Caenorhabditis elegans: one gene and its partners. The protein of the gene in region 1 interacts with the protein of each later gene in a pairwise test. Each region holds a gene or a part of one and is shown in the gene's direction. Other genes may lie near its edges. The genes, in order: cfz-2, dpl-1 and T02C5.1.

What was found.
Region 2: the proteins of cfz-2 (region 1) and dpl-1 interact in a two-hybrid assay, tested with the Caenorhabditis elegans proteins (one study listed by BioGRID).
Region 3: the proteins of cfz-2 (region 1) and T02C5.1 interact in a two-hybrid assay, tested with the Caenorhabditis elegans proteins (one study listed by BioGRID).

Annotation. Positions count from the first base shown.
Region 1 is NC_003283.11:3,438,481-3,448,793, reverse strand, and holds cfz-2 (Frizzled-2), read left to right. Parts: upstream 1-3,916; 5' UTR 3,917-3,918; coding exon 3,919-4,119; intron 4,120-4,771; coding exon 4,772-6,047; intron 6,048-6,640; coding exon 6,641-6,766; intron 6,767-6,820; coding exon 6,821-6,954; 3' UTR 6,955-7,290; downstream 7,291-10,313. UniProt on the Caenorhabditis elegans protein: Receptor for Wnt proteins.
Region 2 is NC_003280.10:9,166,081-9,175,920, forward strand, and holds dpl-1 (Transcription factor dpl-1), read left to right. Parts: upstream 1-3,829; 5' UTR 3,830-3,876; coding exon 3,877-3,885; intron 3,886-3,931; coding exon 3,932-4,267; intron 4,268-4,315; coding exon 4,316-4,581; intron 4,582-4,624; coding exon 4,625-4,693; intron 4,694-4,742; coding exon 4,743-4,840; intron 4,841-4,883; coding exon 4,884-4,997; intron 4,998-5,044; coding exon 5,045-5,239; intron 5,240-5,283; coding exon 5,284-5,468; intron 5,469-5,514; coding exon 5,515-5,676; intron 5,677-5,724; coding exon 5,725-5,983; intron 5,984-6,027; coding exon 6,028-6,131; 3' UTR 6,132-6,485; downstream 6,486-9,840. Other genes in the region: T23G7.3 (G-patch domain-containing protein), read right to left, coding at 1-114, 732-1,239, 1,289-1,591, 1,638-1,720; T23G7.2 (Calcineurin-like phosphoesterase domain-containing protein), read right to left, coding at 1,962-2,367, 2,423-2,542, 2,589-2,873, 2,926-3,014, 3,065-3,169, 3,220-3,312, 6,501-6,602, 6,654-6,719 and 1 more; sec-5 (Exocyst complex component 2), read right to left, coding at 7,242-7,356, 7,405-7,699, 8,370-8,493, 8,539-8,877, 8,926-9,023, 9,087-9,381, 9,428-9,840. UniProt on the Caenorhabditis elegans protein: Synthetic multivulva class B (synMuvB) protein. SynMuvB proteins are required to repress the induction of vulval development by Ras signaling and probably act by forming the multiprotein DRM complex that represses transcription.
Region 3 is NC_003284.9:2,691,575-2,702,107, forward strand, and holds T02C5.1 (TNFR-Cys domain-containing protein), read left to right. Parts: upstream 1-3,348; 5' UTR 3,349-3,360; coding exon 3,361-3,408; intron 3,409-3,458; coding exon 3,459-3,506; intron 3,507-3,549; coding exon 3,550-3,614; intron 3,615-4,486; coding exon 4,487-4,564; intron 4,565-4,615; coding exon 4,616-5,057; intron 5,058-5,646; coding exon 5,647-5,796; intron 5,797-5,844; coding exon 5,845-5,897; intron 5,898-5,946; coding exon 5,947-6,060; intron 6,061-6,281; coding exon 6,282-6,367; intron 6,368-6,420; coding exon 6,421-6,515; 3' UTR 6,516-6,699; downstream 6,700-10,533. Other genes in the region: igcm-3 (Ig-like domain-containing protein), read right to left, coding at 7,024-7,182, 7,757-7,835, 7,888-7,933, 8,878-9,017, 9,416-9,573, 10,194-10,533.

The DNA of each region.
Region 1 (10,313 bases):
CAAAATATTTGTTTGGCATAAGGGAAAATATTCAGGACAAAAAAATTTAGAACAAGAAATTTAGATAAAAATTGTGTATTTTCAATCATTTGTATTATTATTCTATTGTACAAAAATTGTCTGAGTCTTTTTTCCTGAAAGTAAAAATTTAGCTTTTCTGGAATTTTAGAAATTCCAGAAATTTTTAACGCAAATGTTTTTTCAAGTTTGAGACTTAACGTTTTAATTGAAAATAAAAAGTGGAAAGTAAATTAAAAATTAGGAACTAAATTAAAAAAATTTAATTCAAAATGTTAGTAATTGTAAATCTTAATCTTTAGGTTGACACCAAACAATTTCTAAAACTTTTAAATTTGCTGATCATGCCCACAAAGTGGCTACAAGCAATGTTTTCCAAAAATAAAATTTCTGAGAATACTTGACCATTTTTGGGGCGTGGCTTATCTTGGTCCCCTGGCTCCTAGTTATAAAACTATTGCGGTGAGAGCTATATTTTTGTTCTAGATTTTTGAAAACTTGTCACAATTTTTGAAAATTGGTAGAAAATCTTTCCAAACAAATCTTGATGAAAAGTACATAATTGCTGTCCCCCTTTCTTTGCAAAACCCCACTAAAGTACTAACATATTTTATGCAAATTAGTGTGTAGACAAAGTTCTTCTCCCCCCGTCAGTAGTCTATGTTCATGTTCACCTATTGTTCCATCCCGTCTGTTCGCAGAGGTGCATGGTACCAGCTGCTCGTAGTGTTATGCAACTTACCCAAGATATCATTGTATTTGTTCTCGAGATTACATTATTTGGTAGACTCGAAAAAATAGAGGATTTAGAAGGGTTTTCGTTGTTGTGTTTAATTTTTTTCGTTAATGAGATTTTCGGGTTTTGATATTGAAATTTTATTTTGGAAAAAATATTTCTAAAATAATTAAAATGAATTTTTTTAGACTTCCAAAAAGTTATTACATGTGAGGTTTTTCCAATTTTAAAAGAATTTTGAATTTTTACAGATTTTTGTGAGTGCTTGAAGTATGTAGTTGGAATCTGAAAGATATTTTCGCAAATATTATACAAAAGCTCTATTTTGGAATTGCAAATATATGAAAATTATATTATACATTATTTCTAATCTAAATTTTTGAATTTCTCTTCAATCAACTTTGGGTCAATTTTTTGATTTTTAGAGGTTTTTTTGACCTTCAGATTGTGTTTCATGAACAAAATTTCATCTGAAATTTCAGAAACTCTACTACAAAACTTCAATTCTCTCAAATTAAAAATTGCCAAGGTTAAAATTTTTGCAAGTTCTTTTCTCGACATCTGTGTCCAATAAGAAGTTAGTTTATACTTCTTGCTCCCAAAATGTATCCCAACTTGCTCCCATTTATAAACATTTTCCCTCTTTCAACCCTCTTATTCCCATACTTTTGCACTCTAGGTGTCATTAGACACGTTCTTACCTCCTTCCGTTGACAAATACGGACCACTACAATGCCACGTCATTACAGTACTCTCTTCCGTTAGTCAATAAGTCTCCAACCATGCGGACTAACGCATTGTTCCGAAATTTCTGTGTGTGAGAAATGAGAACGCAAGGTCAATCCAGTCACTGTTATAATCCTATTTTGGAAAATAAGTTGGTAGATTTGAAACTGCGAAATTCGAATTTCAAAATATGTTTGATTTTTAAATTTCCAGTTTCGAAATTGCTACCAAAAATGTTCAGATTTTCAAAAACTATCCTTCTATTCTAGAAATTAAAAATGTTCCCAGCTCATGCTGCAAACCTTCTGAAAATCCAAGTAGCACCTAGTTATAGACACCTGCCAATTTCGCATACACCTGTCTGGAAATTTAGCGCACCTGCCAAATTTGGCATTGATTTTTGGCATATATGCTAGTTTGGTACATACTTATAATTTAGTAGATGTGCATAATTTTGAACTGAAATTCTATGTTTTGTTCCGGTATTATAAACTCCTTGTAATAATAATTGCAATGATTGCAAAGTTTCTAAATTTTTTAGTTTTCCTGGAACTTTGCTCCTTTTTTTTAGAAGGTCGGTGACGTTTGGATATATTTGTTTTCAACATTTTGTACCATTTTTTGAATATTTTTCTGAATTTATTCACATTTTTAACTTTTTTAAAAATAGTTTTAAAAAAAGAATTTTCTTTAATTTCAAAAACAAATTATACTTTCGAAAACTTGTTTTTGTATCGGAAAAATTCTAAATTTTTGTATAATTTATCAGTACATTTTTAATTTTTAATCAACTTTTCGTAGAGTCGGAACTTTTTTTCTAGTAGTTTTCAGGATTTGCGATTTTAAAATTAAAATTATTTGAAGGTTGTCTAACATGACCAAACATCAGTAAAAACACTACAAAAAATATAGATTTTTGAAAGATTCCAGTCAGTTTTCGTAAATTGCCAAATTTTTAAAAAATGTGTACCTTTTGGGAAATTTCCACAATTAATAAAAAAAACAATTAAAATATAAAAATTGAAGAAAAATATGCAATTTGTTCCAATTATTTCAGTGCATTAAGAAATTCCAAAAAAATTTTTTAAAAGCTTTTACTGTAATTTTTGGTCATTTTAAAAACACATGCCAATACTCTTTAAAATTTTTTTAAAAAAATAATTTCCGGTCGCATGTTCCGACCCCTACAATGTTTTAATACAAACAAATAAAACAAAATTAAAGTATGAAAATGTAGGGCAAAAAATTTATTTTGATCGATTTCCAAAATTATGAGTTTTTGCCTATTGAGTAATTGTCATTTTTTGCCAGTAAATAAAAAATTTTCAAAAAGTTTTTGAAACGTTTTATCTTAATATTCGGCTATTTTGGCACCAAGTCAGTAGTTTTAACACTTTCCCTACTGGCGCTACTCCACCTATAATAATTTCAGCCCTATCCACATCTCTAACCCATCCTCCATTCCACCTGTTGTTGCTCACAGTGGGGGTCACCTCCTCCTTTTAGCACCTTCCAAAATTTTCCAACTCCTTGCCAGCCACCACTTTGCCCTCCCCTATTTGCACACTCTTCTCTCCTCCCCCTTTCCATCTCCCCCAGCTCATTCATATATATGTACATAACTTCAGTAGTTGTTGGTTGGAGGTGGTAGAGTCAAAACATATCTCCTCTTTCTAGGCTCTTCTTATGCAACCTGACACCCCTTGAATTCCATTCGTGTTCCGTTTGAGACCCCTATGCTTGCACAACTAGGTTACATACCCCAGCACGTAACAAAATTCTCGTATCCTGAGCCTTATTTATTTCTCATTTTCATAAATTTGTATATTCTTTTTTCAGATTTCATCCCAGATCTAAATATAGAGAATTTAGCTAAAAACATATCTAATTTGATAAAGACCTTTCCGATATATCTTGGTTGGATATATTTTTCGAGTGCCTGCAAACACTCTCTCCACATATCCTCCACTATTTCCCGCAAAAAAATCGTTTCCCCTTACTGGTTTTTTGATGCTTTTGATGCTCTGTATGATGAAAAAGTGCTCTTTGGGTATCTCTCTCTCTCTTATATTTTTGATACCGATCCGATAGCTGATCACTGGATGTTAGGTCAAAGCTCTTGTGTGTATTGTGTCATGATAGTAGTAGTACTCGGTAAATAGTGATAAGCGATCACAGTTTTGCTACGTGGATATTGATTTTTTTGTGTTTTAACGGATCATTTTCTCTAAGAACTCCCGTAACTTGACACCGATCCTCCCTCCTCAGGAGGAAGCGCATCCTTTGTACTTTTCCTGTCTTCTTATTCTCCTCCACCTTCAGCTACTTAAATCTCAAATTTCATTTATCTTTTTTTTTGTTTTTCTTTTTGTTCTTTCCTTTTTCTTTATACCTTTTCTAATATCTTTAACTTCAAAATTAACATTTTATTTCTAGATATGCTACTCCGGATCAGCGTGCTGTTCCTATTGCTTGGCTCCTGTGGGGCTCTTTTTGGAAAACGTCAAAAATGTGAGCAAATCACAATTCCTCTATGCAAAGGTATTGGCTACAATATGACATCGTTCCCGAATAGTTATGGACATGAAAAACAGGAAGAAGCCGGATTGGAAGTTCATCAATTTTATCCGCTGGTGGAGGTGAGTTTTTTAAACAATTTTCTATGAGGAAATATTTTTTGCAATAATGAAAAAAACAAAAATTGAATATTGCACCACAAATTGAGAAATTTTGAATTTCGCGCTAAAAATTCGAAAGACACCAAATTTAGAATTTGCGCTAAATTGAAAAAAAAATTAACTTGGCGCTAAAATTTTCGAAAAAAAAATCCGAATATGAATTTCGCGCTGAAAATTTAAATTTTTCAGAATGAGTTTTGCGCCAAATTTTTGAAAAAACTCAACCCTAAATTTTAAATAAAATTGAAATTTTTATATCACACCAAAAATTTAAAAAAATCTGAATTTGAAATTTCCGCCAAAAATTTAAAAATTAAAATTTTAATTTGGCGCTAAAATTTAAACAAGATTATAAATTTAAATTTGTTATATACTAAAAAAATGTGAACCTTAATTTAGTGCCAAAGTTGTTGAAAAAAAATTAGATTTAAATTTTGAGCTAAATTAAATAAAATCCAAATTTAAATTTCGCGCTCAAAATTTGCAAAAACGCAAAATTGAATTAGGCTCTAAATTACGACAAATTCACAATTTTTTTCGCAAAAATCAAGAAAAAAGTAAATTTGAAAAACTTACCTTCTTCCAAAAATCAAAAAAAAATTTATATTTCCAGGTCGGTTGTTTCCAACATCTCAAATTCTTCCTCTGCACAATGTACACCCCGATCTGCCAGGAAAACTACGACAAACCAATTCTCCCGTGCATGGAACTTTGTGTGGAGGCACGCAGCAAGTGCAGTCCAATAATGGCCAAGTACGGATTCAGATGGCCCGAGACACTGTCTTGCGAGGCGCTGCCAAAGATGTCGGATCAGATGTCGACTGGGAACATCTGTGCAGCTCCACCAGATACACCAAAGAAGCAGCACAAGGGGCATCATCATAAGAATCAGAACCAGAATCAAAATCAAAATCATAACTATAGTCCAGATGGCCCAGAAGTCGGAATTTCCAAGATCGACAATGAAGTAATAGCCGGTCCCAGCGAGTGTCAGTGCACTTGTAACCAACCGTTCCAGTTTGTGGCATCTGAAAAGTCCAAAGTTGGAAATGTAACAAATTGCGCCTACTCATGCCATTCCCCAGCGTTGGCCGAGAGTCATAGCCTGGTGAGCAACTGGATGGCGTTCTGGAGCATCACATGCTGCGTGCTAGCCTCCTTCACATTCCTCACATTCCTTATCGAGACCGATCGATTCCAATACCCCGAACGTCCGATCTTCATGTTGGCATTCTGTCAGCTCATGGTTGCCGTCGGATTCATGATTCGATATTTCGTGGGCCACGAGGAGATCGCATGCGACTCGATGAGGATTAAGGGGGCTGATGATAACTCTGGATCCTTGTGCTTCGTCGTTTTCCTGCTCACCTATTTCTTCGGAATGGCTGCCTCGGTTTGGTGGGTGATCCTTTCGCTAACCTGGGTGCTGTCGGCCGCTTCAAAGTGGTCCCCCGAAGCGATTTCCTCGTTCTCATTCCATTTCCACGTGGTCGGATGGTGCCTTCCCGCTATTCAAACTGTATTGGTAATAGTTTTTAATGCGATCGATGGTGATCCGATAACTGGAATCTGCTACGTGGGAAATACTGATCTACAATTCCAACGAATCTTTGTGCTTTTCCCATTGCTCGTATATTTCATCGTTGGAGTTTTGTTCTTGGTAATCGGATTCTGCAATTTGTGGAGTATCAGAAACGAAGTACAAAAGCAACATCCTTCACTGGAGAGTGCCCATAAAATCACGCAGTTGATGAGCAAAATCGGGATTTTCTCATTGCTCTACACAATTCCATCGTTATTGATTATCTGTGTTCTATTCTACGAGCAGAATCATCGATCATTATGGGAGCAATCGCAGTTGTGCTCATGCTCGCCAAAGCAAACTATCGGTGAGTTTTTTTTTAAACTATAACAATTTTTGATCTAAATTTCCCAGTAAACATTTTTTTCACATTAAAAAATTTCAGTTGCTCGCTAAAATTGTTTTTAGAAAATTAAAAAACGAGTTTTCTAAAAATTTTCCCAAAAATTTGTTTAATTCCACCAAACATTTTTTCTCAAAAATTCAAATTTTCCGCAAACATTTTTTTAAAAATTTGATTTTACCGCCAATATTTTATTTCGAAAAAATTGAATTTACCGCCAAAAATATTCTCTGAAATTTAGAATTTCATGATAAAAATTATTCAAAAAGTTTAATTTTTCCGCAAAATTTTGCCTCAAAAATTGTGAATTTCTTTCCACATTTCCTTTTCAAAAATTCGAACTTCCAGCTAAAATTTTTCTCAGAAAAAAATTTAAATTTACTGTCAAAAAGTTTCTCAGAAAATTTGAATTTCCGCCAAATTTTTTTCCTCAAAAAATGTTAAATTAGTGTCAATAATTTTTTTTCAAAAATTTTAAATTTCTCGCCAAATTTTTTTTCTGAAATTTGAACCCCCCCCCCCCCCCCTATTATTCTTCATAAATTTTAAATTTTCAGGCGACTCCTCACTGATCATCTCCCTTATCAAAACTTGCTGTATGTGCATTTTGGGATGGACGTCCGGATTTTGGGTGTGCAGCACCAAAACTCTATCGTCGTGGAAAAATGCTATTTGCTGTTTGGGTAAGTTGAATCTAGCTTGAGTTTAAACAAGTTTTATTAATTTAATAATTTTAGGTTCCTCCCGATCTTTACCCAAATACCAACCGGCAGACATACTTTACGCTAAATCTGACATGTCATCCTCACAATTCTACAACACAAGTCTCCGACACAACCATCTTTACGGAGGCATTCCTGACAAGCTGTAGTGCTCAAGAAATGCATATTTAATATTTGTGATCCCCGCACATCTACCTCTTCAGGACCAACTTTCCACAATACTTGTAGTCGTTAAAATTAGTTTTTTCTCATGAGCTTTTACCTCTTCTTTCTCACCATCATCATCCCATTGATCTCAAGTTCCCGGCATTCTTTCTCAGTTTTTTTAAAAGAAAAGTTTTTGCAAATAATTTTAATATCACAAATTTAATAACTAAAAACAATGTTTTTGTAATCTTATTAGAGTGTTGTTTTTTGAATACTGCCTGTTCCTCTTGTCGAGCTTTCGGAATGTACATACCTAATAAATATTATTTTAATTGATGATTTTTTTGTTGAAAACATTTACGGTATATTAGAAGATTATTTCATGAATATTGTCAGTCAAGACACTTGTGTTCGATTGAAATTCACTTTAAATGGCAGAAAAACGACCGTCATGACCGAATAAACTGTTAAAAAGTTTTTAACATTTTTTTTGAATTTTGCCTATATCAAAATGTGGCCAAACTGAATTTAAATTCCCACGCAAATGAGTGACGTCATTTTTTATATTTTCGCGTTTTCTGGCTAAAATCATGATTTTTCTGGATTTTTTGTTCTAAATTTAATACATGTTTGTAAATTTTCAGACACTTTTCCAAAGAAAAAACATACAAATCATTTACTATATATAAAGCGCGTGTCCTTCTGTCCCTATGTAGTTTGATCTTTGATCTTTGGTCTTTGAACTCTGTAGTCTGTAGTTGGAAGAGGTATTGGGTTGGAAGTTGGTGATGGATAATGTCAAGGTACTGTAGTGGTACTGTAGGAGTACTGTAGGTATACGGTAGGGTTACTGTAGTTTAGGAAAAATTGAGTTTTTGTCTACAGAAGAGGTATTGGGTTGGAAGTTGGTGATGGATAATGTCAAGGTACTGTAGTGGTACTGTAGGAGTACTGTAGGTATACGGTAGGGTTACTGTAGTTTAGGAAAAATTGAGTTTTTGTCTACAGAAGAGGTATTGGGTTGGAAGTTGATGAGGGATAATGCCAAGGTACTGTAGTGGTACTGTAGGAGTACTGTAGGTATACGGTAGGGTTACTGTAGTTTAGGAAAAATTGAGTTTTTGTCTACAGAAGAGGTACTGGGTTGGAAGTTGGTGATGGATAATGTCAAGGTACTGTAGTGGTACTGTAGGAGTACTGTAGGTATACGGTAGGGTTACTGTAGTTTAGGAAAAATTGAGTTTTTGTCTACAGAAGAGGTATTGGGTTGGAAGTTGGTGATGGATAATGTCAAGGTACTGTAGTGGTACTGTAGGAGTACTGTAGGTATACGGTAGGGTTACTGTAGTTTAGGAAAAATTGAGTTTTTGTCTACAGAAGAGGTATTGGGTTGGAAGTTGATGAGGGATAATGCCAAGGTACTGTAGTGGTACTGTAGGAGTACTGTAGGTATACGGTAGGGTTACTGTAGTTTAGGAAAAATTGAGTTTTTGTCTACAGAAGAGGTATTGGGTTGGAAGTTGGTGATGGATAATGTCAAGGTACTGTAGTGGTACTGTAGGAGTACTGTAGGTATACGGTAGGGTTACTGTAGTTTAGGAAAAATTGAGTTTTTGTCTACAGAAGAGGTATTGGGTTGGAAGTTGATGAGGGATAATGCCAAGGTACTGTAGTGGTACTGTAGGAGTACTGTAGGTATACGGTAGGGTTACTGTAGTTTAGGAAAAATTGAGTTTTTGTCTACAGAAGAGGTATTGGGTTGGAAGTTGGTGATGGATAATGTCAAGGTACTGTAGTGGTACTGTAGGAGTACTGTAGGTATACGGTAGGGTTACTGTAGTTTAGGAAAAATTGAGTTTTTGTCTACAGAAGAGATATTGGGTTGGAAGTTGGTGATGGATAATGTCAAGGTACTGTAGTGGTACTGTAGGAGTACTGTAGGTATACGGTAGGGTTACTGTAGTTTAGGAAAAATTGAGTGTCTACAGAAGAGGTATTGGGTTGGAAGTTGGTGATGGATAATGTCAAGGTACTGTAGTGGTACTGTAGGAGTACTGTAGGTATACGGTAGGGTTACTGTAGTTTAGGAAAAATTGAGTTTTTGTCTACAGAAGAGGTACTGGGTTGGAAGTTGGTGATGGATAATGTCAAGGTACTGTAGTGGTACTGTAGGAGTACTGTAGGTATACGGTAGGGTTACTGTAGTTTAGGAAAAATTGAGTTTTTGTCTACAGAAGTGGTATTGGGTTGGAAGTTGGTGATGGATAATGTCAAGGTACTGTAGTGGTACTGTAGGAGTACTGTAGGTATACGGTAGGGTTACTGTAGTTTAGGAAAAATTGAGTTTTTGTCTACAGAAGAGGTATTGAGTTGGAAGTTGGTGATGGATAATGTCAAGGTACTGTAGTGGTACTGTAGGAGTACTGTAGGTATACGGTAGGGTTACTGTAGTTTAGGAAAAATTGAGTGTCTACAGAAGAGGTACTGGGTTGGAAGTTGGTGATGGATAATGTCAAGGTACTGTAGTGGTACTGTAGGAGTACTGTAGGTATACGGTAGGGTTACTGTAGTTTAGGAAAAATTGAGTTTTTGTCTACAGAAGAGGTATTGGGTTGGAGGTTGGTGAGGGATAATGCCAAGGTACTGTAGTGGTACTGTAGGAGTACTGTAGGTATACGGTAGGGTTACTGTAGTTTAGGAAAAATTGAGTTTTTGTCTACAGAAGAGGTATTGAGTTGGAAGTTGGTGATGGATAATGTCAAGGTACTGTAGTGGTACTGTAGGAGTACTGTAGGTATACGGTAGGGTTACTGTAGTTTAGGAAAAATTGAGTTTTTGTCTACAGAAGAGGTATTGGGTTGGAAGTTGGTTATGGATAATGTCAAGGTACTGTAGTGGTACTGTAGGAGTACTGTAGGTATACGGTAGGGTTACTGTAGTTTAGGAAAAATTGAGTGTCTACAGAAGAGGTACTGGGTTGGAAGTTGGTGATGGATAATGTCAAGGTACTGTAGTGGTACTGTAGGAGTACTGTAGGTATACGGTAGGGTTACTGTAGTTTAGGAAAAATTGAGTTTTTGTCTACAGAAGAGGTATTGGGTTGGAAGTTGGTGATGGATAATGTCAAGGTACTGTAGTGGTACTGTAGGAGTACTGTAGGTATACGGTAGGGTTACTGTAGTTTAGGAAAAATTGAGTTTTTGTCTACAGAAGAGATATTGGGTTGGAAGTTGGTGATGGATAATGTCAAGGTACTGTAGTGGTACTGTAGGAGTACTGTAGGTATACGGTAGGGTTACTGTAGTTTAGGAAAAATTGAGTGTCTACAGAAGAGGTATTGGGTTGGAAGTTGGTGATGGAT
Region 2 (9,840 bases), on another chromosome or scaffold:
TTCGGTGTGCTTCTTTCTTTTTCTTGGAATTTCTTCTTCATCTGCCTCCCCACCTTCAGCTCCTTCATTTTCCGGTTGTTGCTGCTCGCGGAGTCGCTTCAGACGTTTCTTTTCCTGGAACATGTGTCAATTTGAGGTTTATTCAAATAATTTTGACAATTTTGATAAAAGTGCAACCTTGTCAAGATGACACTTTCGGTAATGGGCATGTTTATAATATTATCACTCAATTTGAAGCTATGATAATAAATTGATAAACTTTTTGAAAAAAGTTAATCGAATTCAGGGAATCAAAATATTTTTTGTGCAAGAATAAAGTCAGGTATTTGATGTTTAGCACTAGATACTGTCGACCACGGGTGTCGGTTTTTCGATTTTTTGTGACTTACTCAAAGTATGTAACAAAAAATCGAAATTTTCGTTTTTTTTTCGATTTTTCGATATTTCGAAAAAATTTTCAATTAAAAAAAAATTAGCTTAAAATTTTGGTCATTTCCTTATTTTTTAAAGAAATTTTTACGTTCCTTCATCAATATAAGCTAAATTAGATTTTTTAAATCTTATTTTATGATTAATTTTCTGAACATTTTTTTCGACTTTAAGATTTTTCAGAAAATCGAAACATCGAACATTTTCGTTTTTCGATTTTCCCTCGAAATAATCGAAAAATCGAAAAAATCGAAAAACGACACCCTTGCTGTCAACCATATTTCTAAAAATAGCTTATCTACCTTTTTCAGTCGTTTACGTTCAGCTTCATCAAACTCTTCATCAATAATTTCTTCCTTAACTTCTTGTTTTACTTCCAGAATAGTTTCAACTGTTTCCAGAGTTTCTTCCTTATCTCTTTGTTCTCGTCTCAATCGTTTTCTCTCCTTTTTTTCGGCTTTTCGACGAGCTTTTTCTTCATCCGATTCTTCTTCCTCCACTTCAGTCTTTATTTCCATTTTCACTTCTGTCTGATTAGCAGCTGCAGCCTCCCGTTTTGCCTTCAAAGCAGCCATTTTTGCAGCGAAATAGTCACCGACGGATAGGGTGCTGACAGTGTTATTTCCCTCCTTTTTCTCTTGACTGTCAGCTTGGCTATCAGAACTATCAGATTTTACAGATGAATTTTCAGTTTTTTCTTCGATTTTCTCTTCGGCATTGTCAGATTTGAGTCTTCCATATCCAAGAATTCCTTTTTTGTGGCTATCGCTGTAGTTACTTGTATCCTTGGCGCGAGTGAATTTTTGATAACTAAAAATTGATATACTTATACTTTTTTAAAATGATGTTTCAAACTTACTGAATTCTTCTCCTAATCGATTTGCTTTTCAATTCAATGGAAATCTTCTCCGCAGCTGCATTCTTTTCTTCTTCCGTTTGTTCTGGTTCCTGTTCTTTATTTTTGTTCAAAGCTGCCAAAAGATCGGCGAAATCGTCGTGATGAGAAATCCATGTAGAATCATAATCAGCCATTTTGTCAGCACCAAGTCCTCTTCCAGAAGTATTTGCCTTGAGCTTCACAGAGTCTGCGTTTCCTTGACGATTTCTTCCCAGGCCATCTCCTTCGGACCATCCCATTTTCTCCATAAGCTTTTTTGACAGTCTGTAAAATGTTGATGAAACCTGATTATTGATAGGAGAAAACTTACTTCTGATCGTCATTTTTCCATGTCAAATTTTGGGGATCAATACTAATTTTTTGTTTTCTCTTCGGCTCTGCCAAAATCGACATTTTCCAAAAGAATTGAAGCGTCGATAAACCCTAAAATCACAGGAATTGAAATATAATTAGAATGATTGTATAAATAAAATATTACAGTGTTCCGAACACTGGTAAAATCAATAATGTTAAAATAAATTGGAGCAAAGAAGACACTTTTATTTCAGACAGACAGATCAAATAAATTACAACGAAATCATACAGAAAATAGTCATCGAACCGTTTTAATGAGAATTTTACATTTTACAACACATTATTCTCCCAGTAATTCCAACACCCAAACTTCGCTCATTCCAATCATTTTCATGGGTGGTCCTTGATACAATGATCCTGCCATTACCATCAATTGACCTCCAAATGGAATCTCATAGAGTCCATAAAAGTATGGTAGAAGCCAATAAACTACTGGAATAACTACGTAGAATTGTCCTGCATGAGTGTGTCCAGATAAGACAATATCAATTTCTGATAATTCTTTCGGATGATCTACGATGAATTCTCGAATTGATGCCGGATTGTGTGCCATGACGATTTGAGAAGTATTTGATGGACATCGATGGATGGCTTTTGGTAGATCCATTTTAGTGTTCAAGATTCCAGATTTCGGACTTGAAATATCGTTTACTCCAGCCAAACAGACTCCTTTCAGCATTGTACTTCTGAAAAATATCACTGTTACTTCCAAGAAAAACTCAAAAACTTTGTAAAACTTACTCGTTTTCAAGAACATTAATACGGCCATTTTTGTAGAATCTTATCCATTCCTGAACGTCTCCATAATAATATTCATGATTGCCAGTTACGAAATAAGTAGGTGCGTGAGCAGGGAGTTGACTGAAAACAAAAATTGAAATTTTGTGAATCAAACTAATTCGCCTACAGAATTGGTCGAACTCTATCCTCGATTTCCGCAACAGGAGCATCTACCATATCTCCAACAATCAGAATAGCATCAACTGGATTTTCAAGCACTTTTTCGACAACTTGATTGATTTGTTCCGAATAAACACTTGCACCAGCGTGCAAATCAGAGATCACTGCCAATTTTAATCGATTTCCATCAGCAGTGAAGTTTTTTATTTTGATGGTCTTTTCTTTGACAACAATCCAATCGCGTGATATAAACATACTGACTGACAGAAGCAAGGTGATTATCATTGTGAATCTGAAAATAACATTTTTAATGATAAGTTCCGAAATGAGATGTTTTTTGTTACTTTATTTGAGATCTTCTTTTCCACATGAGATCGTTAAAATAAGGAACCTTTCCTATTATTTCCAAAATCGAAGCGGTGTAATGGAACATCTGAGAAAATTTTTTTAAAATAATTTAAATATTATTGAAATTAATATTACCTTCATTTTTCCAGCATAGAAATTAACAATCCCAAATCCACATACGAATGCAATCATGTTAGTCCATATTCCCGCGCAGATTGAGGTGAGATCGAAGAGAAGCCACTGAAATGCAAGAGACTCTTTTAACAGCAACACAATTTCTAAAAACAAACCTGGAGAAATGCTGGGGCATAATACATAAAATAAATCGCTTGTCCGAGAACTAGGAAAATAATAAGGCCATCCGAGCATCGTTTCCGGATTGTCTGAAATGAGAATAGGTCAGTTTTTGGTGAGAAGAAGATTTAATCGATTTGAAGAGAAAAATAGTTATGGTCTTTGAAATCGTAGCAGGAAAACAAAATAAATTTTTATTTAAAAGCAAATTCTTGTTTTGCTAACTTTTTCCAACAAGAATATTGCAATTTGTTGAAATTTCAGTGTCGAACGAAAAAAAAAGAAAATTTTGTTCAGCAACAACACTCCGCCTTGACACCTCTCGCGTTGTTTATCGTCATTGATGGGTCTCGCAACGCACGGCGCGTCTTCAAATTTGGGTTTTTTCTGTTTTCCTCCATCTTCCGAATATTATTGATTTCTCTCACGTATTGATCAAAAATTGTTCTGGTTAACGTTTGTATTGCAGCGTTCTTAAAAACCGATAAAATTTAGATTTAGAACAGAAAAGAATCAGTTTTTTACGATGGCAACAAAATATCATTCATTATTCTTATAATTAACACTTTTCGTAGCTTTTCTCGTAATCAAAGTCATCATTTACAGATCTAAGCAATCGAAAATCTTGATTCGTCCAGGCAGGTCCTGTAGAAATGAACCCGGTTTGTAAAATAAGAAATCGATATTATATTAAACTAACATTTGCAGACAAACTACGATCCCCGTATCGGCCAACCGGCACAAAGTCGACCACAAGTATCCCTGAGTATGGGAAGACGAATTGTTCAAATGCCTACAGGTCTTCCTCGTTCATACCAAGATGAGAGTCACAATGAACCTGTGGGCTGGGATGAACCTTCGGGAGTTGGAGGATCTAGTGGAGCAGGAGGTCAACAATCTGACAAACCAACCGGACTCAGACATTTTTCCACGAAAGTTTGTGAAAAGGTGAAAGAAAAAGGATTGACGAATTACAATGAAGTGGCTGATGAACTGGTAGCAGATTACTTTCAAAATAATCTTATCAAGCAGATTGATGTTGTGGTAAGAAGTTTGTTTTTCTTCTTTTGAAAAAAAACTTTTTTTTTCTAGAAACAAGAATACGATATGAAAAATATTCGGAGGAGAGTATACGATGCGTTGAACGTTCTTTTGGCAATGAATATCATCACAAAAAGCAAGAAAGATATCAGATGGATTGGACTTCCTGCTTCAGCTTCACAAGAAATTTCGAGATTGGAAGAAGAGAAATCGCGACGGGAAGCCAGCATAAGTTCCAAAAAGCAGGCTCTCGAAGAAATGGTATTGCAAATTGTTTCTTACAAAAATTTGGTCGAACGGAATAGAAAAAATGAGCAGTACGTTTGAGTGTTAAATATTTTAGAAAAGTTAAATTTTCAGCAAAAATGGTCGCCCAGAAAACGACACTGTACTTCATCTTCCGTTTTTAATAATTAATACTGATAAAGAGTAAGTTGAAATTCCAAAATTATAATAGTCTCAAATATCTATTTTTAAGAGCAAATGTGGAATGCAGTGTATCATCAGACAAATCCGAATTTCTGTTCTCGTTCGACAAGAAGTTTGAAATTCACGATGATTTCGAAATTTTAAAAAGTAAATTTAAATGCCAAAAACCGATAAGATCCACATTTTTCAGAGTTGAACCTTGCATGCAGTTTGGAGACTACAAATCCCACAGCGGAAGAAGTCAAAACTGCGAAAAGCTTTTTGCCAACCTTACACCAGCACTATGTCGACGAAATCATTGCCAGTAAGTATTTCTTTTTAAAAATCAATCATGGAAACCACAATTTTCAGACCGTAAAAAGGTTGAAGCAGAAAAAGAGGAAAAGAGAAAACAACAACAGTTGATTGCTGATCAAATGTCTATGAACCTCTCACAAGCCCAATACGTTGAGCCGACAAGCTCTTTGGCGCAAATGTCATATTCATCGCGATTCAACAGACAGCTTCAGGAGCATTTGATAAACGATGGAAGTGAGGACAGAAGTGGTAAAAAAGTTTTTTAAAAACATTAAAAAAATTGTTTTTTCTAGCTGCTGCCGGTATAATGGAACGCGATTATGATATGGATAAGAATGTTAATCAGGGATCAGCCAGCCGAGGGCCAATGTATAATACTTATAGTCCACAAAAGATTCGAGCTCAAGTTAACACGCCTCTTCAAGTACCACCCGTTACCAAACGATATTACGTACAGAAGACACAAGGACCAATGAAGGTTTGTTCAAAATGAAGATTTTTCAGTACAACTAAAACATTTTCAGCATGATATGACTCCCGTCGTTCGAACTGTCAATCGGCCGTACTCTACTGTACCTCCAGATCGCAGGCTCTCAACTGGAGCTACTTCTGTGAATTCAGGACCTGTAAAATACTACGTGCCACAAGGACATCAACCGATGCATCAGCCAGTTGGTCAGAGATATGTAAGTTCGTTTTAAAGATTTCACAAACTGATTTTTCTTATTTTTCAGAGAGTTCGTCCACAGCAACCACAAATGAGTCATATGGGTCAGCCACATCAAGTGCAACAGAGAGTTGTCTATCCTGCTGGAAGCATTTCTGGACATCAGTTACAACCTGGACAACGAATCGTAACTCAGCGAATTGTTGCTCCAGGTGGTCCACACCCGCCGGGCACAATTGTTCGGAAAGTGATTCGTAAAATTGTTGTCAACAATCCAAAGCAATCTCCAGCTCAACAAGTTATACAAAAGAAAATGATGGAGCAAGGTAATTTAAATTTGCCTTAAATAATTTAAATAATTTAATTTCAGATATGTGCACATTTGAACGCAAAACGGAACAGCCGATGACTTCTGCGCAGGCCGCTGCTCTCATTCAACACCCTCAACCGGAGGAATACGATTATTTCCAGTAAATGTTTAATGTAACTAGTTGTTATCCCCCTTTTCCCAGTTTTTAAAGGTTCTCAAACGATTCTCATCTGCTTTTAAAATAGTTTCTATACGAGTTTCAATTTTATTTCTAGACTCCTTTAAAATCCCCTCTTCTTTAATCTTTAAAATAGTATAGTCTTCTTCGTCGATTCTATTCCGACATTTGCCAGATTAGAATTGACGACAGATTTCATAATCTACCTTTTACATTATTATTTTGTGTTCAATTTGACATTTTGAAATATGCTTCTTATATGCCCCGACTTTGACAGCATTATATGTAACTCAATGCTCCCGATTTTACCATCATTTTTTATGAAAGAATGATAGATTATAATTTTTAGTTTTACCTGCATTTTTCGGCGATCCAACGATTTCTCCTTGACAATGTCATCGTCGAACCATCTCATCAGCTGGCCGTATGCAAACACATTTAACAGAGTTAAAATGCACTTTAATTGGATTAAATTAATTAGATTTTTTAATTAGAAGAAGCAACTCACTTCAATGCGGAACACGGCAATGACTCGACGGCGGTTACCAACTAAATATCCTTCCACTGATTCAATCTGGAATATGATATCTTATAGAAAAAACTGGGCTTATGTAAATCAACTCACCCAAAATCTTGAGCAATACGTGAGCAGAATCCAGGAGATAACCGAGCCAAAAACGAGAAATCGCTCGAAACTCATCTGAAATTGAAACTGCGAAGACATACTCACTCGAGATCTTTTTTCTGATCGCTTTTCCTGTTTAGCATAGAATTGTCAATGTTCTCTCTCAGTTTATCGCCCAAACTCATCTCCTTACATCCGATTTCTATCGGGAGAAGGAGAAAATTTAGAGAATGACCATTTCAAAAGTACGTGGAAGCGACTGGATTATCGGCTGTGTTGTACGGGATGAAAACATAAGAATAAGTTCAAAGAGAAAAGCGAAACTTTATTATTACAAATAAATAATACAATTTAAATAATTTAGATATAGATTTTTACAGGGCTTTAGTTCTTTTTTAACAATTGGCACTAAAATTATGATGAATATTGTAATATCACAGAAAAAATTGAAAGCGTTTTTAATAAATTGATCTAGATGTTGGAGGTGTTGTGAGAGTCGTCGCCAAGGTTCTCGGCGTGTTGCTCTAGACTTTGAAGAGCCATTCGCATAGTGGTTCGCATGTTTTTAAGGCATTGCTGAAGACGTCTGAAATATGAGAACTATTTGTTTTTCCAATTCGATTTAAAAACATACTGATTATCAAATCGTCCGACGAGTCCTGCTCTATAAGTATTTATTTGCACCCGAATTGCCAGCGTGGCATACGTTGAGAGAGCCTCTTCAAGACCAGTCAAATCAATGACAATTTGTGTTACAATCAATGGTGATGTATCTTGATTCAGTCGGGAAAAATGAAGAAGAAGAGCATCAAGAGCATTTGATACTGTTTGTTGGAGACATTCAATTGCTAGCTGTGGAGCATAAAGTTCTAGTTCTGCTTGTTGGAGCACAGAGCAGAGGATCATTTCCTTGGCGTAATCGGAGATATCTGAAATAGAAAAAATATTATTTTCCAACTGTAGGTATCAACCATTGCTGTAGATTTTTTGTTATTCGTGTTTTTGGCGGAATTTTTTCTTCTAGATTTTTCAGTATTCATAAATTTTTATTTTTTTTACAAAAAAAAGACAACATTCAAAATTATTAATTCTATAAAATATCTTTTTTTAATCTCGTAGCGAAAACTACAGTAATTCATTCATTTTTTTGGACTACTGTAGCGCTTGTGTCGATTTACAAAAACCTTTTTTCATCGATAAAATTTTGAATGAAAACACAAAAACTATTTTGGAAAAACGAAAAACTTAAGAAAATTTGAGAATAGCTGTAACTTTTCGAAAATAAATTAATTTTAAAAATTGAGCCCGTAAATCGACTCAAGTGCTACAGTAGTCATTTGAAGAATTACTGTAGTTTTCGCTACGAGATATTTTGCGCGTCAACTATGTTGCTCAATACGAATTTTCAGAATTTTGTGTAAATAATACATAAAAAGAGTTCCATTACAGCCAAAATATTTAAAAAAAATTTAAAAATAATGTTTCAAACTAAAAAAAAACTTTGTTCACTTTTTTGTTGTATTTTCTAACTTTTTTGTTTTAAATTTCGAAAAAATAATCTGATTCAGCTCTGGTATCATCTGAAATCGTTGAACATACCATCATCATCTGGTAAGTACTCATAAGTTGCTGAAGCAATAAGAGGTTCAAATGCACTGCTCATCATCGCAATGCAATCATTGATCATTTTAGTTCGGAATGCGGAAAGTTTTGCTCGAGATTTCTGAAAATAAAAAAAAATTGTGAAGCATAAATTTTTCATTCTCACTTCTTGAATTTGATCAACATGTTTAACTCCACATTCTTGCATCTTTTTGCCAACATTATTCAGCGTTTTTGCAATGATAAATTCGATATCTCCAACGGCAATTAAAAGTTTTTTCGTCGTTATTTCATTATTTCCTTTCTTTTGTCCAGGTTCTTGAGCCAATTGTTGAGGTCTTTGTCGAATGAATAACCGATCGAAACATATTTTTATAGAAGTGATGAGATGTACGAATAGATCAATAATTGTGTCACGGAAACGTTCTCGAGAGAAAAGGCAAGCTTCTCCAGGATATCCAGAAATGGAAAGAGCATCACGAGTACGCGTAAGGCATTCGCAAATCTGCAATAATAGATAGATCTTAATAACTTCCGTTAAATGGAAAATAACCTCATTTTCATAATAATCAGGAAGAATTGTCTTTGTTTGTTGTGCTCTGTCAAGAATATCTTGCTTCCAGTTGATTCGGTGAGCAAGAAGAGCAACTCCTGAAATTTAAATATTTTATAAAATAATATTTATCATCTTTATTGTATAAAAGTTATACTCACTTTCCACTCCACAATCTACGAAATCGGAGAGCAACTTCAATCTGGCAGTCATACACAGTTCAACTAACGGTTGAACATGAGTAAGACTGAATTGATTTTCAAGCAGTGAAGAAATCAAAGATCTTGTAGTTTTTAGACTGAGTTGAAGATTTGAACGACTAATATCAGCAGGAACTGTGGGCCACTTTGCAAATTGATCTCCGTACTGCTTCAAGACCATATCAGGAAGAGCTTTGGGAACCAGGGCGTTCAGAATCAGCCACGATGAGACGTTTATGATGTTGGTCAGCATTTGCTGAAATTATTAAAATGTTTCAAAACTCTGCTTACAATACACTAACATTAATATCCTCCAATCGTTGAATGGCATCAGGAGAAGCCGTTGAGTTATGATATGTGTTGGCAAGTTTCCAAAATGAGGGAAGTTTGCTCAATAATAATTCAACCAGCGTTGTCACAAAGTTCTGTAGCTCATTGGTTTTCGTAATCAGGTGATTCTGCGAATTGATTCTCTGCTGATTTTCAAGATCCTCTAATTTAGCTTTTTCCAAAAATTGCGTCTGCATATCCCAGAGACTTTTCTCAAGCCAGACGTAATAAGAGGTTATACAATCCCAAGTAGGGTCTGATTCTGGATCCAGAATTTTTAGATATTTGATAAGTTTACTTTGTTCTTCATATGAGACTGGAGTATCGATAAGCTTTCGTTTCATTTCTTCCTTGAATACTTGCATTTTCTCATCGATCTCAGTCA
Region 3 (10,533 bases), on another chromosome or scaffold:
AGGCTACACGCTAGCATTTTCATCAAGCACCGCACATGTATTTAAATCAAACATTCTTGTACCTTTCCCAGACATAGTCATTTTCTGCTTTGTATACTTTAAGCAATTGTGAATTCTAGTTGTGAATCTCTCCGGTTTTGAAACCACCTTTTCTTTCTCCCCCTTGCAAAATATAGTCCGGTTAATACTCAAGTAGTATTTCTCCTGTATTGTTTCTGTATCGTTTCCCACCATCGAAACCCATACCATGTTTCTGTGCAATTCCATTTTCAAACTCCATGATCTTTTTCCCTGATGCTTTTATTTTCCATTTCAATTCCAAAGACCTTGCTGCTTCTATAGGTGTCCTACAATTATGGCTTTAACTTTTTCAAAAAATTTTTTACATTATGGTAACTTTCAATATTGAACTTGTGGAATATTTTTAATTAATAAACAAGTATGTATTAAAAATTATTTTGTGGAAATTTGTTTATCAATTGGCAAACGATAGGAATAGTTTTTAAAGGTGGAGTACCGAAACTCGAGACTTTGCTTTTTAGACCCAAAATGACCCAAAACTACCAAATTTTGAATTGAGACGTTTTGAAAAATTCTCCAAAAAAGTTACGGCCTTTCAAAGTTTTGGAAAAAAACGATTTTTTTCATCATAGTTTTTCAACTTCTCGGTGTCGCAGCGTCTGAATTTTTTTCTATTAAAGGTGGTGTAGTGGAATATTTTATTTCTTTATTAGACTCAAAATTGTCTGAAAACATTGAATTTTATAATTAAACTTCTTGAAAACCTTTTAAACAAAAGTTATGACGGCTCAAAAAGTAGCCTAAAATTAGTTAAAATTTGAAATTTCACCTATTTGTCAATGTCGCAGCGGCTGGAAACAATTTATTTTTGAAATCAACGTCAAGTTATAACTATAGAATGTAATTCTCTCGCGTTTTCAACTTTATTTAGGTATTTTAAAGTCGATGACGGCGAGATTAAAAAAAAAAAAGTTTACCAAATCTTGCCGTCCATCGACTTTAAAATACCTAAATCAAGTTGAAAACGCAAGATAATTGACGTCTATACTCACAATTTGACGGTGATTTGAAAAAAATTCCAGTTGCTGCGACATTGACAAGTCGGTCAAATTTCAAATTTTAACTAATTTTAGGCCATTTTTTTGGCCATCATAACTTTTTTTAAAGACGTTTTCAAGAATTTTCATAACGAAATTCGGTATTTTCAGACAAATTTGAGTCTAATAAAGCAATAAAAAATTCGACTACACCACCTTTACACTATTACTATTTAATAAACTTTATGGTATTTTATTAAGCGTATATTTGTTGACTTAAGTACATTTATGGTCAGGGAGGCAAAAAATGTAACTTTCTTTGGAAAAATATGCATATCCTACAAAGTATAAACATGCCAAAATTCGCAATATTTCGTATACTTCCTAACTTACATACTTGCTCCATAACATATTCTTTGAGCCCAACTCTCTCAATGTTGTTCAATTTAATGTTTGATGGAAACATGTTCCATAATGCACTGATAAGACAACAACTACCGTGTTGTCAAAAACAAACTGTTTTAGGTTTAATCGGAAAACGATTGAGACCGTCGTCTTGATGGAATATTATGAAATCACTGTCAACAGAACAAGTGACCAAAAAATGTTGTAAAAAGCACAGATGGACATGAGAACGCACAGTTTTTATTCAGACACCGCCTTACAGATGCGAGAGCAACCAGAGCAGTTGATGGGCACACAGGCACGACGATTAGTGGGCAGCCGCCCGTACTCTCTGTCTTTTGACTGCATCTGGGCAGTTGTCTAGATATCGATACAATTTTGACCCAACAACACAGTAAAATTTTGGTCAATATTTGCTTTTTATCATAACTTCCCTCCTGTCATTTTTGATTGTTTTGTGAGTGAGAGTATGCAAATGGTGAGATGCAACTTTTGCCAATGGACTAGTCACAAGACTAAATAAAATAGAAAACTAGTCGCAATAAATTATTAGAGTGAGAAATAAGTTTTGTGGTATGTTTTTTTTGTGTCTCAAATAATATAAATTTTTCAAACGTTTGTACCTAACTTTTTTAAAATTCAATTTTCAATATAAATTGAATATGTTTGAATTCAAAAATATATAAGTCCTTGATTTATTCTGGTAAAGTTTACTAGATTCACTCCGTGCATTTTTATTCTTCAAATATTTGATTAGGCTGGATCAAGGATTTTGATTGTCAAACACTGAACCAGCTTTTGGATACAATTTTGCAGTATTGATCAATATTATCATTTCTCTTATGAAATATTTGTTTTCCAGCATACGAAAATGTGTGATATTTTTATTAGTCATGGTATATATTCATGTGACTGCAGTTAAAATGATACAAATGTTCTAAAAGCCGGAAATATTCTGTACTTTTGATAGCTCGTAAATCTCGTTTCAACGCTCATTTGTGAAAAATGCGACCTACAGTACTTTTGGTAGCGGCGTGTAAACTTAATAAATTTTAACATTCACGATTGTGCACTCTCTCAACTCTCATAGAAGTAATTGGAGATTCTGATTTTTTTTCCAAAGTGCAACGTACCACAGTTCTTCTCCAAAACTTTTCCTATTTCTCAACTTGTATATTTTTTCGCAATCGAACTTACTCACAGATTTTCAATACTTCATCTACAATATTTTTGTTAATAAATTCTGAAAATCGGAACATACTGCATTGCTCTGGATTTCCTTTAAAGCTCACGGTTTGAAAATTTTGGAATTCGCCAAACGTTTGACTCAAACTTTCCAAAATTGTTTGGAGTGTTTTATTTGGTCATTTTATTATTATTATTGGTGTATTTAAACAAAATTCCTACATGCAAATTTCGAAAAAATATTTTTGTTAGTTTCAATTATAAATGTTGTATATTTATCATAATTAGGAGACAAGAGCAAGATCACTTTCCAAGTGATAAAATTTTTTTTTTGAATTTTCAAGAAAATTTTCATCAACTATGTTTTCGAATTTGTTTTAATGGAGAATGTCATCTTTTTAAATAGTTAATAATTTTTTTCACAAAACAAATCCGCGTGTTTTTGGAAACTTGAGCAGAAACTTTTTCTATTTGTGCTTCAATGGTTATTTGTCTTCACTTTTAATAAACTATCAATTGCCATGTTTTCATATTTTTAATTTTCCACCTCATAACTCACCTCCCTCGCAACTCAGAAAATTAACATTGGCTTCCAAAGTTCACCACCTTTTTTTCTCTAACCACACCATACAAATAGAACTGTTATCAATCTGAAATTATTTAAAAAGACGTCGCTGAGATAAGAGCGTCAGTCCTTTACACGCGGCACGCAATGAGAGGAGCACTGCAGTTACTACTTTTTGTTGGTACAGTCACTCTGGTGAGACCTATTGTACACTTTGAAAATATTCTAGTTAAATTTTTATTCAGGTGGCCAGCAAGCTACATGAGTCCCCTTACGTTACCGAATGCTTTGATGTATGTTTAAATTGTTTTTTTGTAAGTTCTCAATTTGTTTTAGGGGCACTACAACTTCAGAGGCGTCTGCTTCCAATGCACTCCATGTGGTGACTTCATGTACGAGCTGTAAGTAATTTTTTGTTGATATTTTTTATGCCAAATTCATTCAAAAATTACGGGACACTGTCTCATCGTGGAATCTGTAATAAAAAGTCTGTAAACTGCCAGATTTAGCGGTTAGATCTTTAGATACTTGAAAAACCAATTCCTTATGAAATTGTAAAACATAAAACAATCTGACAGCCCGTGTATTCAAACGGTCTTGTCATTTAGCATTGATGTCAGAATACTGATAACTGTGAAGAGCATGTCATGCACACCTCGGTGTCATATGGTGTCGTGAAAACTTAGTGCTATTGAGTAACAAGGTGATTGATAAGAATAAACAGTACTTCAGTTTGAAAACAGAAATTTGATAGCAATCAATTTTCCGGGCATTTGTTTATTCAAACTTGTGACTAGCAAAACATTGAACATAGTGAGTTCAACTCACCATGGGTTTTCAAATTAACTCGGCATTTGGAGCATGGGTGTGCGGCAAATATGCCAAATTTGCCCAGCACAGCAAAACTCGAAAATGCAGATTTGCCGAATTTGCCGAGATTGGCAAATTTTGAAATTTACACATCAGTAGGAATGTTTTTCAGAAAATGGGTTTTTAAAAAATTTATTTAGGTACCTTAACTTCAAAATACCCGTTTATAAGGTTCAATTAATTTTCTAATATGAAAGTTTATGAGTTTCAAAATCTGCATGCAACCGTTGTAGAACATTATCATGCAAAAATTTAGTCAGGGGTCAAGCTTGATAAACAATATTTATTTTCAGTTTCTTATGACGTCATATATATATATATTAAACATATTTTATTATCTCGTACGGAAAACTCGCATTTCGTCGAAAATTTCCCTTTTGTGAAAAACTATTAAAGTTTTTAGAGCAAAATGCACGGATACTTCAAACACAGTTTGTGGATGGTGTGGAAACAAACCAAACTTGGACAAAATTTCTGATGAGTATGTCATAAAATGAGGCTGATTCTATTACAAAGTTAGCCCATGTTTCAGAGTGCTTGTCTCTTACCAAACCAAGTGTCTTATGTCTAGCCTAGATTTCATCGGGATGACCAAACTGAAAGACGAGCTTGTCAATGTTTTTGATGATGAAAAGGATAGTGAGGAGGTAGAAGAGTTACCAATTAAAGATAATTTCATCAAAGGTGAAAATCTTGAGATGATTGATTCAAATGAGATCAACTACGATATGGCGAGAAACAGTTTAGAAGATGTGTACGATAGTCAAGAGCACCAGCTACCAGACCCGACTTATGAAGAAGGAGATGATTCAAGTTCTTCGGAAGAAATTGGCGAAGAGGAGAAGACTGATGAAAATGAGATTGGAAGCGAAATTGTTTCGGAAAAAGTCAAAGCTTACATGATTGAAAAAAGTGAAAAAGTTCCGTCTTCTGTTAAAATTGCGAAAGGAAAAACTACAATTGTTTCTCATGAGGTAGGTGGAAAACAACAAAACAATAAAGTTAGCATATTTAAATTGTGCTATGCACTGCGGATCTGGAAGTCAGGAACACTGCCTGGTAGTGCTCTCACTGGGATATAAGGGTGAGGCCGGACTTGAACTCGTGGCCTCCAGATTGCTAGCGACCACCACTACCAACTGAGCTATCCCGCTTCTGAAATATGTCGGAGCAAATCATTGAAATAAGAAATTGAAAAGTTTTGTATACTCAAAAAAATTTTGAAGACTTTTTGACGACCCAATTTTCTTGAACTAACTTTTTTCTTTTTGTTTTTGTTGATTTTCTAAGTGTTTAATTTAAGCAAAATTCGCACACAATTGAGAAGATGCCAGAAAAAGTGGCTCCGAGTTAAAACCGTTGGGGTGGTTAAACATTTTTGAAACTGCCGTCATAAATTCCCTCACTTTTAGTATCATCTATAATCTACAAAAAAATTATTGTGTGAAGCTAACTTTTTGATGTAAACTTGGGATATCTCGCTCTTATGTTTTGAAATTGACCATGAAAATTGAGTGCCCAATTTTTAAATTTTCAGAACTAAATTCATCATTTTAATTTCAGGAAGCCGAGGCCACATTCCGAGAGATTGAAGCCCTACCAAACCCTGTGCGCAAAATCAACCAAGACGATTATGACTCCTCTGAAGAGTCAAACGAGCGTGAAATCAAGTGGGACAATTGGGTTGATGATCAAGTGAAACCAATCAGAACGGTATGTCTGCAAATCTACCCGGATTTCTGAAATTTTTTTGAAATACAGAACGTCGAAGTTGTCGAAGCCGAGGAGATTGAGGAATTTGACCAGCTCATCGCGTAAGTCAATGTTTCAATGATTTTTATTTGAGAAATTTCCATTTTTCAGAAAGTCGCTCAAAAATAGAAGAAAGATCTTGAATGATGAGACAGAAAGCTCACCACTATTCATTAAAAACTTGGGTTCAGTCTTTGTCATCTGTATGGGAATGATCATTGTTGTGTAAGTAAGCTAGATCACGTGGATTCAGAATGTCATATTTCGATTTGATCTTCAAAAAATGCGGGAGTTGAGACGCAGACATCTCATCTGATTTCGCATGGTGCTAACGTCTCAATTTTTCTGGAAAAAAACTTCCCGCCTTTTTTTGTAGATCAAACTATAAATCAACACGTCTCAGATTCTAACTTTTGAACTGTAAAATCTATGGTTTGTTTTTCCAGCACTATTCTCTCTATCACATATGCTTTGATGCGTGCGGAAAGAAAGGAATTCTTGGGCGTCCCCACCGACTCGCAGGACTATCATAGTAGGGATTTCAAAAGAGTTACAAAAAAATCTAATGTACAAAGTTTATTCCAGTGATCATTGATTCCAGCAATTATATCGAGAAGCTTGAAAGCAAGGAAAAACAGGCCAGCCGTCACGTTCATGTCAACCCAGTTTTCGATGTTTGATTAATTTTATCTTCTCCGTGAGAATTATGAGAATTATCTGTTTGTATATTTAATCTTCTTTATTTTTTTATTTTTGTATTTTTTAAATGTGCATCCGCATTTTCCATTTCATTTCTTTTTACGTTCTGAAATAGTAAATTTAAAATTTATGGGAAGAATGTATCTTTGATAAAACCTTTATTCCATTTCAAAAAAAAATGTCGGGGTAAAACACCAAAAAGGGAAATGGGTGATAACACCGCCTGAGGCCACGAAATTTAAGTGGAGGGAAATGAGAGGTGATAGAGATAGCATATAATACCCGAAGTTGCATGAATGGCTGACAATGCTCGAAGAAAAAATCAAACAAGGGATGGTTCTAGAAGGGAAAGTGAAAAATGAAAAAGAAAGAAAAAACGCAGAAAGGTACATTTGTAATTAAAATTTCAAATATGGCCATTAAAACTTTTTCAATACGGTTTTTAAAAAACAGGTAACACGGAGGATAGTGGATGTACACATAGATTAGCTAGACGACAGACTGAACAGAAGCAGTGCCCCTATGCGGTCTACTATTAACAGAGCTGATTGATACGGTACTTGATGGCTGTGCTGCGAAGCCTCTTTTGAGTTCGAGCTCTGCATAGTTCACACCCTCGTGGAATGCAGCGACCGTTGTCCGTTTCTTCTGAAGTGATGATGAGAAAAAAAACAAAGAAATGAATGAAAGAAGTGAACCCAGTTAAAAAGCTTTAAGCAGAGAGGAGGCTGTGAATTGAAAGCTTGGATTGGTTGAGAGCATGCACACCAGCGTTAGAGCCTTGAGAGAGAGGGAAGTAAATAAGGAAAGCAGTAACACAGTTTAATAAGAGACACGCACACACATAAACGGCCATTTTAGTGTGTTAGACGATAGACATGCGTAATTGAGCATCTTTGACAGCCTGGTCGTACGCGTTTACCTAAAATCGTTTGATATTAAGTGGGTTTTAACATTTTAACACGTGAGATATGAGTGGGATGTGAAATGGTGGATAATATGAGCTTAGAAGCGAAGCGTTGGGGAGAGGGTAAGTTATCACAAAAAGAAGGAGAAAACCGAATACCTAAAACATTTTTTTTGATTACTATGACAATGTGTGAGAATGGAATGAGATTGATTAGGAAGTCGGGGGATTGGGATCGGGGGTCGGAAGATACAACCTTCAAACTCAGACGACAGCTTCACGACTCAAATAGACGCCGTACGCCGTATCGCATACCTCGGGTGGGTGTTGTGCGAACAATCGTGGAGCATTTGGTGGTGGCTCGAAATAATCATTTTCTTGGTGAATGTTCAAGCTGAAAATAGGATTTATTACAGCGCTATTCTATGTACTATGATCTTACTTACTTTGCTTTTGTTTTCGGCTCATTGTAGTCTGGGTGATCTTTCACGCCTGAAATTTTATTGATGATTAAACGTGTTCATAATATGTATTCTGCTAAATTATTTGAAAAATTATAACGGAACTCTGCCACTTGGGAGTTCGTTTCCTTAAATTGTAGTACCCAGCCACATTAGGAAAAAAAAATGTTTTAAGCCAAAAAATCTAAAACATGAGAATTTGTTTTTCTAATTTTCATATAGCTTCTACTTATCTTTTTCGATTTTTTTTTCGATCTTCAGGGTGATACATCATCACCGTACGTTATTAATTAAAATTTCAACTGTCGAACTTACAGGAGGGCTAACGGTTCTAGGTTTCCTAATTATATATAAACGAATTTCGTGATGAAACTTCTCAAACTTTCTCAATTTTAGAAAATATACTTATGGCGGTTCAAAATTTTAAACAATAATTGCTTTACCTTGGCTAAAATCTCAAATTTTGGTCGATGTTTTGTGTCGCAGAACTCCGAAATTGGCTTTTTTTAAATTTCCATTCTTTATTGCATATTTTGGTATTTTATCTTACATTATTGATTAAGCTACATTACCTTAATTAATAAAAAACGACCAAAATATGCTATAAATGATGATAAACCAGTTTTTAAATGAGAGATTTTAGATATAATTTAGCCTTTTTTTTGGAAATTTAGAACCCCCATAAAAATATTCAAGAAAATATTTGAAAATATTTGAAAAGTCTTATTAAGGGATTCGATTATTTGGACTCGTGTTGAGTTTTTTTGGGCCTATCCCCAGTAGCCTTTTCTAGCTTTTCGGGCAATTTCACTTGTACTTTTTGAAATTTTTTATCTTTTCCTCTGGTAACATTGCTACTACAATTTGTGACAACAATCCCACAAGTGGCTTGAAACCCTAAAGTTCACCATGAAACTGTATTACTGTACAAAAATTTTTTCCACTGTGAAGTAAATCTCGCATTTTCAAACTCACGTCTTCTAACACAAACTGCAATAATACAGATGACAAACAGCAAAGCAGCGACGCCAATCAAAATGTACATCCAGAAAGTTGGCATGCGACCCACCATCGCACTATCCCCACCAAGTAACGCATCCATGGAGACTGGGATTCTGCAAAGCAACAAAATTGAAACCAGTTTGTCATTCACACGCCTACTGTCCGTCACTATTCAACCATCTTCCCATAAAACACTTCCACAAGTGACACAAATACTTGACGTCTTCACAGCCATAACGTCCTTTTTCTACGACTTATTGTCTCTATTTGCATATCTTATTCGCTCTCACAAAAAGAAAGCCCAAATGAGGAGAGGTTGACCTCACATGGGATTTGACCCCTTCTACTCTTTCTCCTTTTCTCTCGCATTTGTACACAATATGCGCGCTCACTTGAATAGGTAAATAGGAATGTGCATTTGGCGTATAGCAAAGACATTGGAACATCTTATTTGAATAGTAAGGGTCCCCCCCCCCCCCGCGTTTGCTCATTAATCTACTGCTCAACTCACTGTTTCGATCCGAATTGGTTCTGGAGTTTGAGAGCAATCCGACGATATTGATCTTCTTCACGAACTGGGGAAATTGAGAGCCGAGCAATGTAACAGTTGGGAACTGTGTTGTTGGTGACAGCTGAATCAAAACGGAAGTTTTCCCATGATTGGCCGACCTGAAGAGAGCACATTATGTTAATTTGTAATGAAGCATCCCAAAAATTGTTCAAAAATTCCAATTTTGGTCACGTTATTTCATTGGTTAGGGTGCATTTAAAGCCCGAAGGTGATCACAGTTTTTGAAATTTTTAGTCACCTATCGGCTTTAAATAAACCTTAATCAATGAGATAGGGTGAGGTAAACTTCCTAAATTTGTAATTAATTGATAATTAAAAAATAGATAAAAGTTGGGATTGCTACGACACGGGAAAGTGACCAAAATTAAAAATTTTACCTAAAACTAGACTATTTTTTAACGAAATTTTGAACCACCAAAAAAAATGTTTGAGTATGATTTGAGAAGTTTTATTACAAAATTCGTTCATTCCCAAACTGTTGGTCCTTCTTCAAACAAACGTTATTCTTTAAAAACTTAGGGATTTGTCTAACCCTGGCATTAATTGTTACTCGTTTTATTACTAGTTTCGGGTTAAGTTCCCCCTCAGAATTAGGTGTGTTTATTCATATGCCTATTTACATCAAATTTAGGCCGAAGTCATTAATCCAAGATGCATGCGCGAGTTATTAGAAAGTGCACTGCCTTTTCTAAGCCTTTCCTAATTATAAGATCCCCACCTGAAGGTCATTTTGATCGATGCTGAATACAATTTCTCGTGGTGGACGTGGCATTGGTTCGGCACAGTAGTGAACTAGTACTGTTGCGTCGTTTCCGCGTTGCTCAATGCTTGGTGGAGCATCTGAATTGCTTGGTGCTCCGATGACTTGAACGTTGAGACTGGAAGTTCCTGGAGTTTCAAGACTTGGCGAGCATTCTGGCTCTCCTTGGCTGACTTGAGAGCAAGCTGCACACCAGTATTGTCCGGAATAGGAATAGTTGGAAATTCGAAGTGAGCAGAGTGCTGTGAGGCGAACAATGTTAGCGGATCTTCCTCCCTCGGGTGGCAACTCCTGATAC